Drosophila melanogaster: one gene and its partner. The protein of the gene in region 2 interacts with the protein of the main gene of each other region in a pairwise test. Each region holds a gene or a part of one and is shown on either strand. Other genes may lie near its edges.

The links. Proteins that work in one complex are often made in the same cells at the same time.
Region 1: the proteins of Pp1alpha-96A (region 2) and NiPp1 interact in a two-hybrid assay, tested with the Drosophila melanogaster proteins (3 studies listed by BioGRID).

Annotation. Positions count from the first base shown.
Region 1 is NT_033778.4:17,003,063-17,006,743, forward strand, and holds NiPp1 (nuclear inhibitor of protein phosphatase 1), read right to left. Parts: upstream 2,088-3,681; 5' UTR 1,997-2,087; coding exon 1,968-1,996; intron 1,906-1,967; coding exon 1,691-1,905; intron 1,636-1,690; coding exon 1,421-1,635; intron 1,360-1,420; coding exon 789-1,359; intron 729-788; coding exon 607-728; 3' UTR 501-606; downstream 1-500. Other genes in the region: AsnRS-m (Asparaginyl-tRNA synthetase, mitochondrial), read left to right, coding at 1-476; CG6805 (uncharacterized protein), read left to right, coding at 2,699-3,445.
Region 2 is NT_033777.3:24,516,733-24,526,004, forward strand, and holds Pp1alpha-96A (protein phosphatase 1alpha at 96A), read left to right. Parts: upstream 1-1,537; 5' UTR 1,538-1,926; coding exon 1,927-1,975; intron 1,976-2,111; coding exon 2,112-2,460; intron 2,461-2,863; coding exon 2,864-3,149; exon of another isoform or gene 3,150-3,207; coding exon 3,208-3,355; intron 3,356-3,610; coding exon 3,611-3,762; 3' UTR 3,763-5,599; downstream 5,600-9,272. Other genes in the region: DZIP1, read left to right, coding at 1-588, 644-800, 859-1,305; CG13622 (uncharacterized protein), read right to left, coding at 5,858-6,700; Jhbp12 (juvenile hormone binding protein 12), read left to right, coding at 8,241-8,325.

The DNA of each region.
Region 1 (3,681 bases), on a different chromosome or scaffold from region 2:
AAGTACCGTGGAAGATAATGAGCTACGATGAAGCCCTGCAAGTACTGCAGGAAAACAAGGACAGTCTTAAGACTCCTATTAGCCTGAACGAAGGATTCTCCAAGGACCAAGAACTTTTTTTAGTGGCCCATTGTGGTGCTCCCGTATTCGTTGTGGATTGGCCAGCTCAGCAGAAACCTTTTTACATGAAAGTCTCGCGTTCAAATCCCAATCGAGTTCATGCCCTAGACCTACTGATGCCAGCTGTTGGAGAATTATGCGGCGGGAGCCTGCGTGAAAGCGATCCTGCTATATTAAAATCCCATCCGCATCTGCCGAAGGATCTGGAATGGTACGTTGACTTGCGAAAGTATGGAGGAGTTCCAACTGGAGGATTTGGAATGGGCTTTGAGCGTTACTTGCAGCTTGTCACGGGCGTTAAAAACATTCGTGATGTGATACCCTTCCCCAGGTATCCACACAGCTGCAAGATGTGATCAGATAAAGATATTAAATGTTTTGTTTTACGTTAAAAGTCTAATAAACAAATATTACTCCAGAGTGTGTTGTCAATCATATGCTTGAGAAAATCGTAGGTGGAATCTTAATTATTTTGTTAATACGCAATTACAGCTGCCCCAACATGGGCTTGCGACCTGGCCATGCTTCCTTGGCGTATTTCTTTTTCTGTGGGCACAGCGAATCGCCTTCGCCACTCGAGTCATGCGGATCCTCACCAAAGCGACGAACTAAAATGGTGTTATAAACAATCAGTAAGTTTTTAAACAAATAGTCGCGAGAACTATTACCGTTTGCATTAGCGACGGCCAACTTTTGAGCCAATGTCGAGGTCTCCACAGCTTCGTCATAGACTGGCAGCACTTCAGGCGCAGGATTCGGGAGCAATAGGCCCAACTTGGAACCAATGCTCAGCGGGGAGATGGGCTCTAGGTCACCCTTGCCATGCATTTCGGCCGGTAGACCTTGATATAGGGAATTAGTAGGCGAGTGGAGCACCGCATTGGGCGGAGGCATTTCCCTATGCTGCTGCTTCATGTCAACTAGGCTCTGCTGGAACATTTGGTGTACATGTGCGGCATTGGCACTGGACAAACTGCTGTTGCCCGAATGGATGCCCATATGATTGACGTCGCAGCGAGCCCTCTTGGCGGGCACCACAGTGGTTTGTACCAAGTTCCTGAAGCGTCCCACATTAGGATCCACATCCTCAGGATTGATGACAATCTCCTCATCGTTAAATGTGACATTTCGAGTGCGCCGTCCCTGTTTCAAGGCGTTTTGCTTTCGCATATTGGTATCATCATCGATGCCCAGCATTGAGATGCGCCGATTGTGGGCTGTGTTGTATTCTGTGAGATTCTGCAGGATAATGGAAGGTTAGTTTACATAGTATTTAGCTTTTCTTTTCAACCAAACGCACATCAAGCTCCGTTTGGCTTTCGGGTAGGCCCAGGAGAGCTCCATCGCTGGTTTCACTGAGCGGCAGGTCTTCCATGATGTTGCTGTGGTGGCCAGAGGGTCGTTCCCTGAGTATGTAGTTCCGGGTAGAAGCCCCAAAGTGGAAGGTGCTATTAATCTGCAGCTGTGTGGGCTTGTGCGCTTCCAATCTGAGTGTTCCAATAAAGGTGCCATGAGCTGTCAAAAGTAAATGGATAAGCTTACTCCGAATCCCAGATATCTTAGTACCTACTGGACCCCAGATCCACGAGGTAGGCTATGTTGAGGTGCTTGTGGTAGACAAACGCCGAGTGGACCCGCGAACAAGAGGCATGGTCTATGCAGAAGTCGTTCATTTGACTGTTGCGACCAAATAGATAGCATCTTTTTTCATCCACCATCAGTTTTTGTACTAGTTTGTCGTCCTTTAGCACATCCAGATGTAAGCCAGTGGGCGGTTTTCCAGCCCTAAAATAAATAAAATGCTACGTGATTTTGTGGCAAGGCAGCGGCTGAATTTGACAACGCACCAACTGGGTATGTCGTAGCTGTTAGCCATACTTTTAACTTAAGTAAAATAGTTCGGAAGGTAAGTTTATACAAAGTGTTTATTTTTATGAAAAATCCTTAGCCAGTGTGTACACACAATTGACTAGTTGCCGATAATATCGGTTTAGCACAAGCAAATGCAAAGGGGCATTCTCGCGTAAAAAAAAAAACAATGAAATAAGAGTATTATTATTTTAAAGGAACTTACGCACAGTACAACTTTTAATCTTATATCTTTATATTTCTTAAATTGATTTTTGGCTTTTATAATATCTAATGTGTTTCAAATAAAAATCTAAATTAGATGAGAAGCTCATGTTAGCCGATGTTTTCGATGAGCTTCAGAGCTCCGTTACTATCGAGATACCATAAAATTTTTGCCGCCGCCTAAGGTATATTTAAATAGTTGTGCTGCGGTCACACTAAGCTCACGCAACGGACGGACAAATAAACATAAATAACGACATCTGAGTATTCTATAAATAATACGGGCAACTAGCGCTTCCTAGTCCAATTAAAGCGGCTTAAAAAATTAGTGCTGAAGAATTAACGGTTACATAAATGAAAGTTGCGTGTGCAAAACGCCTTTCGCTTTATTTGCTGATGCTGCCAAATCCGTAAACCTGTTTTGGATGCCCATGAACTCATCAACAGCCACCTTGTGACGTCCAAAACAACAAGTATTAATCATAGATAATTAGACGGCGGAAAAATGGTTACGGCCACGGCGATTGCGGATCTGTGCATCTTCCTTTTGACCTGGAACGTGGGCACCCATACGCCGCGAAATCAGGATCTGAGCTCCCTTTTGTCCCTTAATGGCACCACCACTTGTCCGGATAACCAGCTGCCCGATATCTATGTAATCGGATTCCAGGAGGTGAGCACCACACCGCAGGTGCTAAAAATCTTCAATGACGATCCGTGGGTGCTGAAGATCGCGGACTCTCTGAGCGATCACCAGTTCGTAAAGGTGGACTCGAAGCAGCTGCAGGGAATTCTTATAACCATGTTCGCACAGCACAAGCACATCCCGCACATGAAAGAAATCGAGACAGAAGCCACGCGCACGGGACTTGGAGGGCTGTGGGGCAACAAGGGTGCCGTAAGCATTCGACTTTCGCTCTACGGAACTGGCGTCGCATTCGTCTGCTCCCATCTGGCGGCGCACGATGAGAAGCTGAAGGAGCGCATCGAAGACTATCACCAAATCGTGGACAATCACAAGTACAATGCGCAGGGATATCGCCGGATATTCGATCACGACTTTGTCTTTTGGTTTGGCGATCTTAACTTCCGTCTCTCCGGCGATATGTCCGCTTGGGATGTCCGCACGGATGTGGAGAACCAGCGATACGCTGATCTGCTCAAGCTCGACCAGTTGAATCTGCTCCGGGAGAAGGGAAACGCCTTCAGCTTGCTGGAGGAGCAGCAGCCCAACTTTGCGCCCACTTTTAAGGTAACAATCTAATATACAATCTTATTATCTCTACAGTCAAAGTTTGCCTTGAACTTTCTAATCTTAATCTAAATAATGTATATAGGGGTGGGTGTAATTAATTTTATCTGCACTTGAATTTTTAATTTCCGCCAATCACTTCATCAATCAATCACTTCATTCGGCTCCACAGATTTCATGAGAAAAGCAAAATCCAACTAATTTATGAGGCAATATGTCGAATGTAATTAATTCGC
Region 2 (9,272 bases):
GATTGGAAAGGTCAGCGCACACAGGCTGGAAGAGGTGGTCTATCACCTTGAGGAGGGCTACAAGGAGAAGCTAGGGGCACTGGAGCGAGAGCTCAAGCAGCTGAGTGTTCAAAAGGTGCAGCCAGAGCCTGTGCAGACTGTGCCAGTTGCCTCGAAAATACCCAAGCCGGTGGTTCGCAAGGAGGAAACCAACATTGATCGGATTCGCAAGCAGGTGGAGAGCGAGTTCCTCAAACAGAAACATGACGATGACACCTATTCCATTGAGGAGGCGCCACGAAAAGGTTCGGAGAAACCATTCCCACAGCTGGTGACCCAAGTTCAAGTGGTGGAAAAGGAGCAGCCAAGTGCTGGAAGTTCGGACAGCAATCCGACTTATACGAAATCTCCAAGGGAACCTGCTCCTAATAAGCAGGAAACGAAAGAAGCCACGGACGTAAGCGATAGTCTCAGCCAAGAAGAGACGGAGAACGAAGAGGAGCGCAGCCTGACAGAGGAGGAGGGGACCGATGTTCCCACCTCCGGGTCGGAAGCAGCACGAGAGGATCCAACGCCAAAAACAATCAAGCCTTCTGGAAGAATCATCAAGTGAGTGTTTCGATGTTAAGCTTTCTTAGAGTAATAATAATCCACATGTTTTAAGGAGCCCTCAAAAACCACTTACTCGCAAGGATGCCCGGAAGATGGTCAACCGGAAGTTGATGTCTCACGGCTTCGATATGAAGTCCAAAGGTATTTCGCATAACTCTTTGAAGAGAGTGAACTCCGAGCTGACAGAGCACCGCAACAAACTGAAACTGGTAAGCCTATAACTGCCAAAAACTAATGAACTTTTGACAATTCTGGAATACCCTTTAGCAACATCCACATTTTTACGCCACTCGAAATCGCATCCGCAAGTTTGTCGAAAAACTGTGCTCCGCCAAGTTCTCGGAACGCGCGGAAATGTTGCTGAAGCACAAGAGTCCACTCAAGCCAATGGAGGTTCCAGGCAAAGGGATCCCGAGGTCTGCGATCTCTGAAAAGTCTGAAGAGGATATAGCCAGCTCTCAAGGCGAAGAGCAGACGGATGAGCAAACGGATAGCAGCGAACAGCAAACTCGAAGCCCCAGTCCTCAAAGACTAGTTAGTCGCGATTTCAAGGCTCGTCTGGAGGAGATCCTGGTCAAGCCGGCGGCCACTATTCGAGGAGCTTCCAAGTCGTCCCTGAGTTCGAGGCCAGTTCCGCTGCCCAGGAAGCGGGTGATGTTCAACACCACGGAGGACGGGAAGAGCTTCAATGACAGCGATGATAACCTAAAATGAGTCAATAAAGATGATATTATAATACTTTGGGTATAAATGTCAACGATACGTTTAATAGCCAATATATCATAAGATAATTATATTCCTTTATGAGTACCTATCACCTGTTCAATGTACCGTACTTAACTAAAAAATATTGTTTTTTAAATGAATTTGCATATTCCGGTCACACTACCTTTTACCGATAGCTGCGCGCCGTGCAATGGATAGGCAATCGATAGGCAATCGACTCGCGCTGTAAACAATCGACGTCACTAACCAACGTAGATGAAAATTTTTTAGTACGTCGCGAGTAAAACGTGCATTAAATGCAATAAAAGGGCAGCTGGCTAAGGATCGGAACGATTGAAGTCAGCCAACCTCAGAGGGGTGAGCAACCGAGGCAGTGAATCCGCGAATCCGTGCATCCAGCTGACCAAAGGGCGAGATTAGCCCAGCACCGAGTTTCCATCCGCACACGGACACGGCGCACACACACACAGGCACACGCAGCCCGTGCCCATCGATGAAATAACATACATAACGAACGTATACCGAAAATACACGGGTTACGGGAAATAGCAGTTGCTGCAATCGGCGGATAAGCGAACTTCAGGAAGCTGAGCAAGCGGGCCCACAAAGATGTCGGATATCATGAACATCGACAGTATCATCTCGCGCCTGCTGGAGGGTAGGTGTTAGGGCTCCAACTTTTGATTACCTTGCCCCCACCCATCATCACCCATTCCCCACATGCCTTGCCACCCAACCACCGCCCACTCTCATCACCTTAACGTAAATTTTCCCTGCTTGGTTTTCCATTGCAGTGCGCGGTGCACGACCGGGAAAGAATGTTCAGCTATCAGAGAGCGAGATCCGCAGCCTGTGCCTCAAGTCCCGCGAGATATTCCTGTCGCAGCCCATACTCCTGGAGCTGGAGGCACCGCTGAAGATCTGCGGCGACATACACGGACAATATTATGACCTCTTGCGCCTGTTCGAATACGGCGGCTTTCCGCCCGAGTCAAACTACCTGTTCCTGGGCGACTATGTCGATCGCGGCAAGCAATCCCTGGAGACGATATGCCTGCTGCTGGCCTACAAGATCAAGTACGCGGAGAACTTCTTCTTGCTGCGCGGCAACCATGAGTGCGCCAGCATCAATCGCATCTACGGGTAAGTGGGGAGGCGGCTCCAAAAACAGGATGAAGCTTGATGAAATGGTTAGCAATCTGTTCAGTTCAGCACCGAAACAATTTGCTTTCCTGCTTAGATTACTGAAACTCATTTGATTACAATTTATATTATTCTTACGACTCGTATTTACTTCTGATGACTATGTACTTTTATACATGCTATAGAACTTATAGTTGTTTATTGTTTACGTGAGCTTTAAAAATTTCCCAGACATATTGATGTCTACTTATGCTTCCAAGCTTATTAATACTTTCTAGTTTATTGACGCACACAACGATATCCATTACAATTAAATTAGCCATACTTCAAATACATAAAGTAAATGCCACATTCTATAGCAATAATCCATAAAATTACTCAACTAATTGCACTTAATTGGCAGGTTCTATGACGAATGTAAACGTCGCTACACCATCAAGCTGTGGAAAACTTTCACGGACTGCTTCAACTGCCTGCCGGTGGCCGCCATCGTGGATGAGAAGATCTTCTGCTGCCACGGTGGCCTGAGTCCAGATCTGTCGTCCATGGAGCAGATACGACGCATCATGCGTCCCACAGACGTGCCCGATCAGGGACTGCTGTGCGATCTGCTGTGGTCGGATCCGGATAAGGATACCATGGGCTGGGGCGAGAATGATCGCGGCGTGAGCTTCACATTTGGAGCAGAGGTGGGTTCTTCGCATTACACTGTTCGCCACAATGTTGTTTATGCATTCGCTCTTGCAGGTTGTGGGTAAATTTTTACAGAAGCACGAATTTGACCTGATCTGTCGGGCTCATCAGGTAGTGGAGGACGGTTATGAGTTCTTCGCCAAACGTCAGCTGGTGACGCTCTTCTCGGCGCCCAACTACTGCGGGGAATTCGACAACGCGGGTAAGTGATCATTGTTCGGGGACTTTAGTCGGAGATAAACCTTGTTTATTTGGAGAACAACCACGTTGCACCCTTGTACTCGGTGATTTTGCCTGCCGATAAGCTGTCGGCAAGTGAAAGCTGGCAACCAGATTTAAATTCAACTCGGAAAATGCGCATTTAAAAATAATCAATAATCAATACCGAGAATGAAACTACCTATGCACGACACCCGCTTCTAATGAATTGATTAATCATTATTGATTACGTTTACAGGTGCCATGATGTCCGTGGACGACACATTGATGTGCTCCTTCCAGATATTGAAACCCGCCGACAAGCGACGATTTGTTTATCCCAACTTTGGCAGCTCAGGACGTCCTTTGACACCGCCACGCGGAGCTAACAATAAAAACAAGAAAAAATAAACACTGCACACCTCGAACGAAGCACAACAACAACAGCAACTACAAACGGCCACACACACAAAACACAAATAGGGAAAACAGAAAGGAGAATCCGTGTGTCCACATTCAACGGAAAGCGCAGAGAGTTTGTTTTTATCATAAACGTGTAATCGAATCGTGAGCAACGTTATATGGGGAATATGAATCTACACAAATTAGCCTATCTTTCATTTGAAAAGGAAAAAAAAACAAAAACAAATAAGGAAAACGAAACGAATGAAATGAAATTAAGAAACCAGAAAACACAAATCGAGACACTTTAGTTCAAACTAATGGTAGTGTAAGACACTGCATAAGCAAGAATATTTTATCTCCTAATGTATTAATTTTGTTATAATATTTCCTTGCGCAAAACCCACACACTCACACACACACACACACATACACATGCTCAGATCATCCGTACAGTAGGTACCATAAGTGCACGCACCGGTTGTATTTTAATTTGCATTTCCAACTCGCACAGCATTTTAATTATGTATGCCGATCCTGGCGGCACCTTTGGCAAAGGTCTTTAACCACACTTCCCTTCTTCCTTGTTTTTTTTTTTTGCGTATCTAAGGGAATATTAGCAAATGGTAACAATGTTAAATTTTATGTTAATTAAACTGTACGAGAATGCTTTTAAATGTGAGTTGAGGTTACTACATATTACATATGTATGTACTCGAAGCACGATTTATTTTTGTAATATTTGACATCGATACATGTTTACTTAGTTTTAAAACGAGGAAAGCAATTTTAGTTGCAAGCTACAAAAGCTTGAATTGTTTACACCAAAAATATTAAAATAAACAAATATTGTGAATATTTTTTAACTGTTTGCATTACACAAACACACACATACAGGCAAGCACGCACACACGATTTTAAGGAGAACCCTGAAAAGTATGTTTATATAGACAAAAATAAACCCGAATTGAAAATCTACCTTAAGGCGAACGCTTTTGAGCGGCACTGTGTGCTCTCTGCTGATGTCAGCGACGAGGCAGATAATGTTACCCCCTTTTAATCCCCCGCCCAGACGAAAGGAAAGCAGCGGCCCCAGACCCATTAAGTGCATGTGAAACTCACACGAAATATAGAAAAAAAAATCGAAACAAAAATAAGCAAGTAATAAAATATTTGTAAACAGCAGCGCAACAAACACAGACACAAACACTGTTTATCGTACAAGTGTACACTTTTGTGTATTTTGCATTCTACGACTAACGTCGCAACATTCTAGTGCTAAAGGCCGCCACATTCAATTACAAGTATTATGCCCAGGCAGGCAGGCAGCGATCCGGAGCGATGCAGCCGGACGCAAGTTACCCAAAATGGTTTCGTTTGTATAATCCAATCCAATCCAATCCCCGCCCGACAACCAAGCAACCTACTAACAACAATCGTGTAACCTACGGACAAAAAAAAAAAAACAAAACCAAAAGCAAAGCATGAGTCCTCTTCTATTTCACACTCTAGTACTCTGTTCAATGTTGTAATGAATTCAACGTATATTTACGACTATATATGTACTTGTAATAATGCGATCCAGTACGACATCGGCTGTTTTCAACCCCCAAAAAACACAAGTCATAAGAAATCTATAACGTAATATCGTAAAATTAAAGTGTAATTGACCCCAAGAAGGAAATTAGAAAAGACAGATGGGGTAAATTTATAATGCATTCAAAGCGTAAATTGCAAAAAAAATAAAATACAATAAAAAAATAACAAACAAAAAAATCATTTAAAAAAGAGCTAAAAAATGAAACAAAAAAATACAAATTAAACAAAATGAACACAATGACGAAGCACTTGTAACAAAATAGCACTGTTTTATTAAAAAAAAAATTGAAATACATACTAGCAATAAATATGAAATTCGAGATGTGTTTTTACTTGAGTGAAATGCATGTTAGTTTCTTGTTTAAAAAAGCAAATCTATTATTTATTGTCTATATAGTTGGTGTTACAATCTAAAGCATTTCGAGGACTTTAAAATCTTATTTATAACTTTACTTTATGTTGCTTAATATATTGCACTAAATTTACTTTGTATAGCACTTTGTGTTTAGTTATATCGCAGTGAGCAACTCTTTCCCAAAGGAGCACATGTGCCACCCGTGCCCCTGCCATGTCGCTCATCCTCCTGGAGCCTCAGCTGGAGCAACTTCTGCCTTAAGGCATAAGGTGTGGTGGTGGTGCTGCTGCTGCTGCTCCTCGTCACTTCCTGTTGCCTGCTCTCATTGGCGCGATCTTTGTTCCACTTGTCCGAGTTGTTGAAAATGATTTTATCATATGCCCGCTGCAGGCGCAGCTTATCCTGGCGGACATCACTGAAGCATTCGCTTGTGTTCATCAGGCGGAAGTGCTGCAGGGCCTTCAGTTGCTGCAGCTCATCGTTCGCCTGTTGTTTGGGATACTGAACTGGGCGTGGCGATGGCGTCGAGTTGCCACTGTAAACCTGACCCTGACCTTGGCTCCTCTGGCGACTGGCGACGCATGCGCTCTGCTCGTAAAGGCGACGATTGTCCGTGTACCTTTCATGATGGTTCGTGTTCGAGGTGTCAATACCTCCTGTTCGTTCCCAGCCCCATCGCAAAACCTTGGCCCTGCTCTGCTGACGTTGCTGGGAGGAGCTGCAGCTGCAGCTGGAGCAGTGACTCACCGTGGTGGCTGTGGAGTTCCGGCGACTGAAGTCATTGACCAACTCGGTGCTGGAGTGGCCTAGGCCAAATCTGGGCTGGTTCTTTACGCTCGGACGTTTTATAAATTGGGTGGGTCGTAGGCTTTGTCTGGAAGAAGAGGTCACCGACCTGAGATCGCCACGTGGATGATGATCTCGATTGAGCGCAAGATGTTGCGACTGCCGCTCACTTCCCGATCTCATTACGCCACAATAGCATTTGTGCATTTTGGAAACTATTGCGTCTAGATTTTCCGATGATTTCAGTGATAATTACTTATCTTTCAGATTATTCTATTCCCCAAACTGATTGCGTGCCCGATGAATGTTGAGAGACTACTGGCGACAACCGGTTTCCACACTTATGGTCTGGTACTTTATCACCAATCATCATACCATATGTATATACCGTTAGCCGGCTCAGCTAAGCACTCGCATATCGTTTGTTTATATTTGAACAACAATTGCAACAGTTTCCATAGACACATGTCGAGGTCCTTGGGCCGTTTATTTTTGGCCAAACACTTGCTGGCAGACTCATGTCCACACGCATACAAGTGGATGCCTAAGCCCAGTTGGACAAAAAAATGTGCTGGCCAAACGAAAGACTTAGGCAACAAACTTGAATTCGGTACCATGAGTTCAATCGTAGAATTACAATCAAAGAATAGTGTTGTAAATGATCAAAAGAGATTGATGGGATGAAGCAGAGCGAATTTAAAGAATCAAAAGCAAAAGGTATAATTTTTTTGATTTGATTTGATAGTTAATATATACATTGTGATTTGCATTGTTATTATACATTTTTAAAAAGGAATGAAAGTGAAAATCCTAAATATATAAACACATGCTTGCAACTAAGATTTCATCTTTGGATTTTTCTGAAAATTTTTGATTTCCCAATTACCTATTTTACGGACTTCCAGTTTTAATGATGCCCGTTAATCCAAATTGTGCATTTAATTTAGCGGTAGCCACCCATAAGATTAGCCAATTCGCTTAACCCAAAATTAGTTTTCCCATTTGTGCAAGAATTCGACTGTTGTGATTTCAGCACACCAAATGTTGCCAAATATTGACCCAATAAAAACTAGTTCCTGTGCACTTGTAGAATGTACGCTAAGTCCGCTCAAGTGTCCGGCTTAAGTGGTTCGATTTGACTTCCTCGAAGAGAGCGAAGCGTGAATATCGTATAAGCCATATATACCCCATATTATGGCCATAAATTATGTTGACAACCAGGTAAGGTTCAATGAACCGCATAGCGGGGGAAAATTAAATCGAAAGGGCAAACAACAGCAACGAACAGGGTTGCTGGGTGGCTCGGTCATTGGTCGTTGTCGTCACTTGTCTTCCACTTCCAGTGGTCATTGGTGGTTTGGCTATCTTGGCCTGGCCAAAAGCGGCGAGCCGGAAAGCAAAAGTGGTTCGCTCACTGGCTGGCTTAATGGGCCAAAGCTCGGCGCGATTGAAAATCGATGGGTTTTCGAGACTCGCAAAAGCTCTCCGACTTCCAACGTTCAGAAAGCCAACTTGAGGCGCCGTCGCCGCCGCTGAAGCTCGGTATAAAAAGACGATCGGCGGACGCATCCCGTGTACACAGTGATAAGTCTTCGGCCAGAACCACCTGTCACCTGAACCGAAAACGGAAGTCGCGCGCGCGTGTAGCCATCTCTTCGTGCCGAGTGTCAATTGAAATTTGGCTGTGGCTCTTGGTCAATCGATTTCGTACATCCGATCCGATTTCGTACATCCCCCCGGACGAAATATGTCAAAATACTCGCTACTACTAATGCTGCTGCTAATCGCTGCGGTTGCGCAGGAACTTACTGTAACGGCTGCGCAAGAATTGCGTAAGTACTGCACCCAAAAAAAAAAGAAAAAAATACAAATAAAAAACAAATAAATTAAGCAAATCGAACATCAACTATTGCGGCGAGTCAAAAGTGCAAAAAACTTATAGATCGTATTTGCTTTGGCGCTATGCTTCGGCTACATCTATTTGCTTGGCACCACATTTATGGTTAAAACGTGATCGATATGGCTTATGGCTCTTTAATTTCGTTTTTTTTCATTTGGGAACTCGCGTTTTGGCCTGCAGACCAGAAGGTCGATCTCTGTAAGATTCTCTAGTGGCGTTTATAGTTGCATGCAAATTTGGAGTGTTATTACAGCAAGTACAGTAAAAATCAGTAGAGTCACGCCGGCTTAGACTTAAGTACTGCTTCAAATTGGGATTCTGGGATTTACCTTATTTATATACTGGATTTTTTTTACATTCTATACTTTTTAAAATATGCATGGTCAATTTCAGTTTAAGAAAGCCTGACAATTTCCCAGAACTGGAACTAATATTTATGTTAACGTTGCTGTAGATCCATAGAAATTGTATTTTTAAGTGTTTTCATGTACATTTTAAATACTTTAGAATCATGAATAATTACTTTTCTTGGTTTCAACATTAATCAAAGCTAGATTTAACTTTGAATCCCAAAAGAAATCCAGCAAGACAAATATGAACAATTAAAAACAATTAGCGTGGGAATCACCGAAAAGCTAAATAAAATTATTTTCCATGAAACGATTAAAAATGCGATGGGCTATTTCCAAGATAATAGTTTTGGCAATTAAAAACGAGAATAATTGAGGGGAGATATAAAAAAAACAAGCGACCATAAGACTTTATGCGCTTCATTTGCGTGCTGCTAAATGGTCAAGATCAATTAAGATCGGTTTTTTTTGGCAGCATTAGAGGTTTCCAGCTACTGAAGTCCACTGTAAACGGCGGTTATGCAATTGA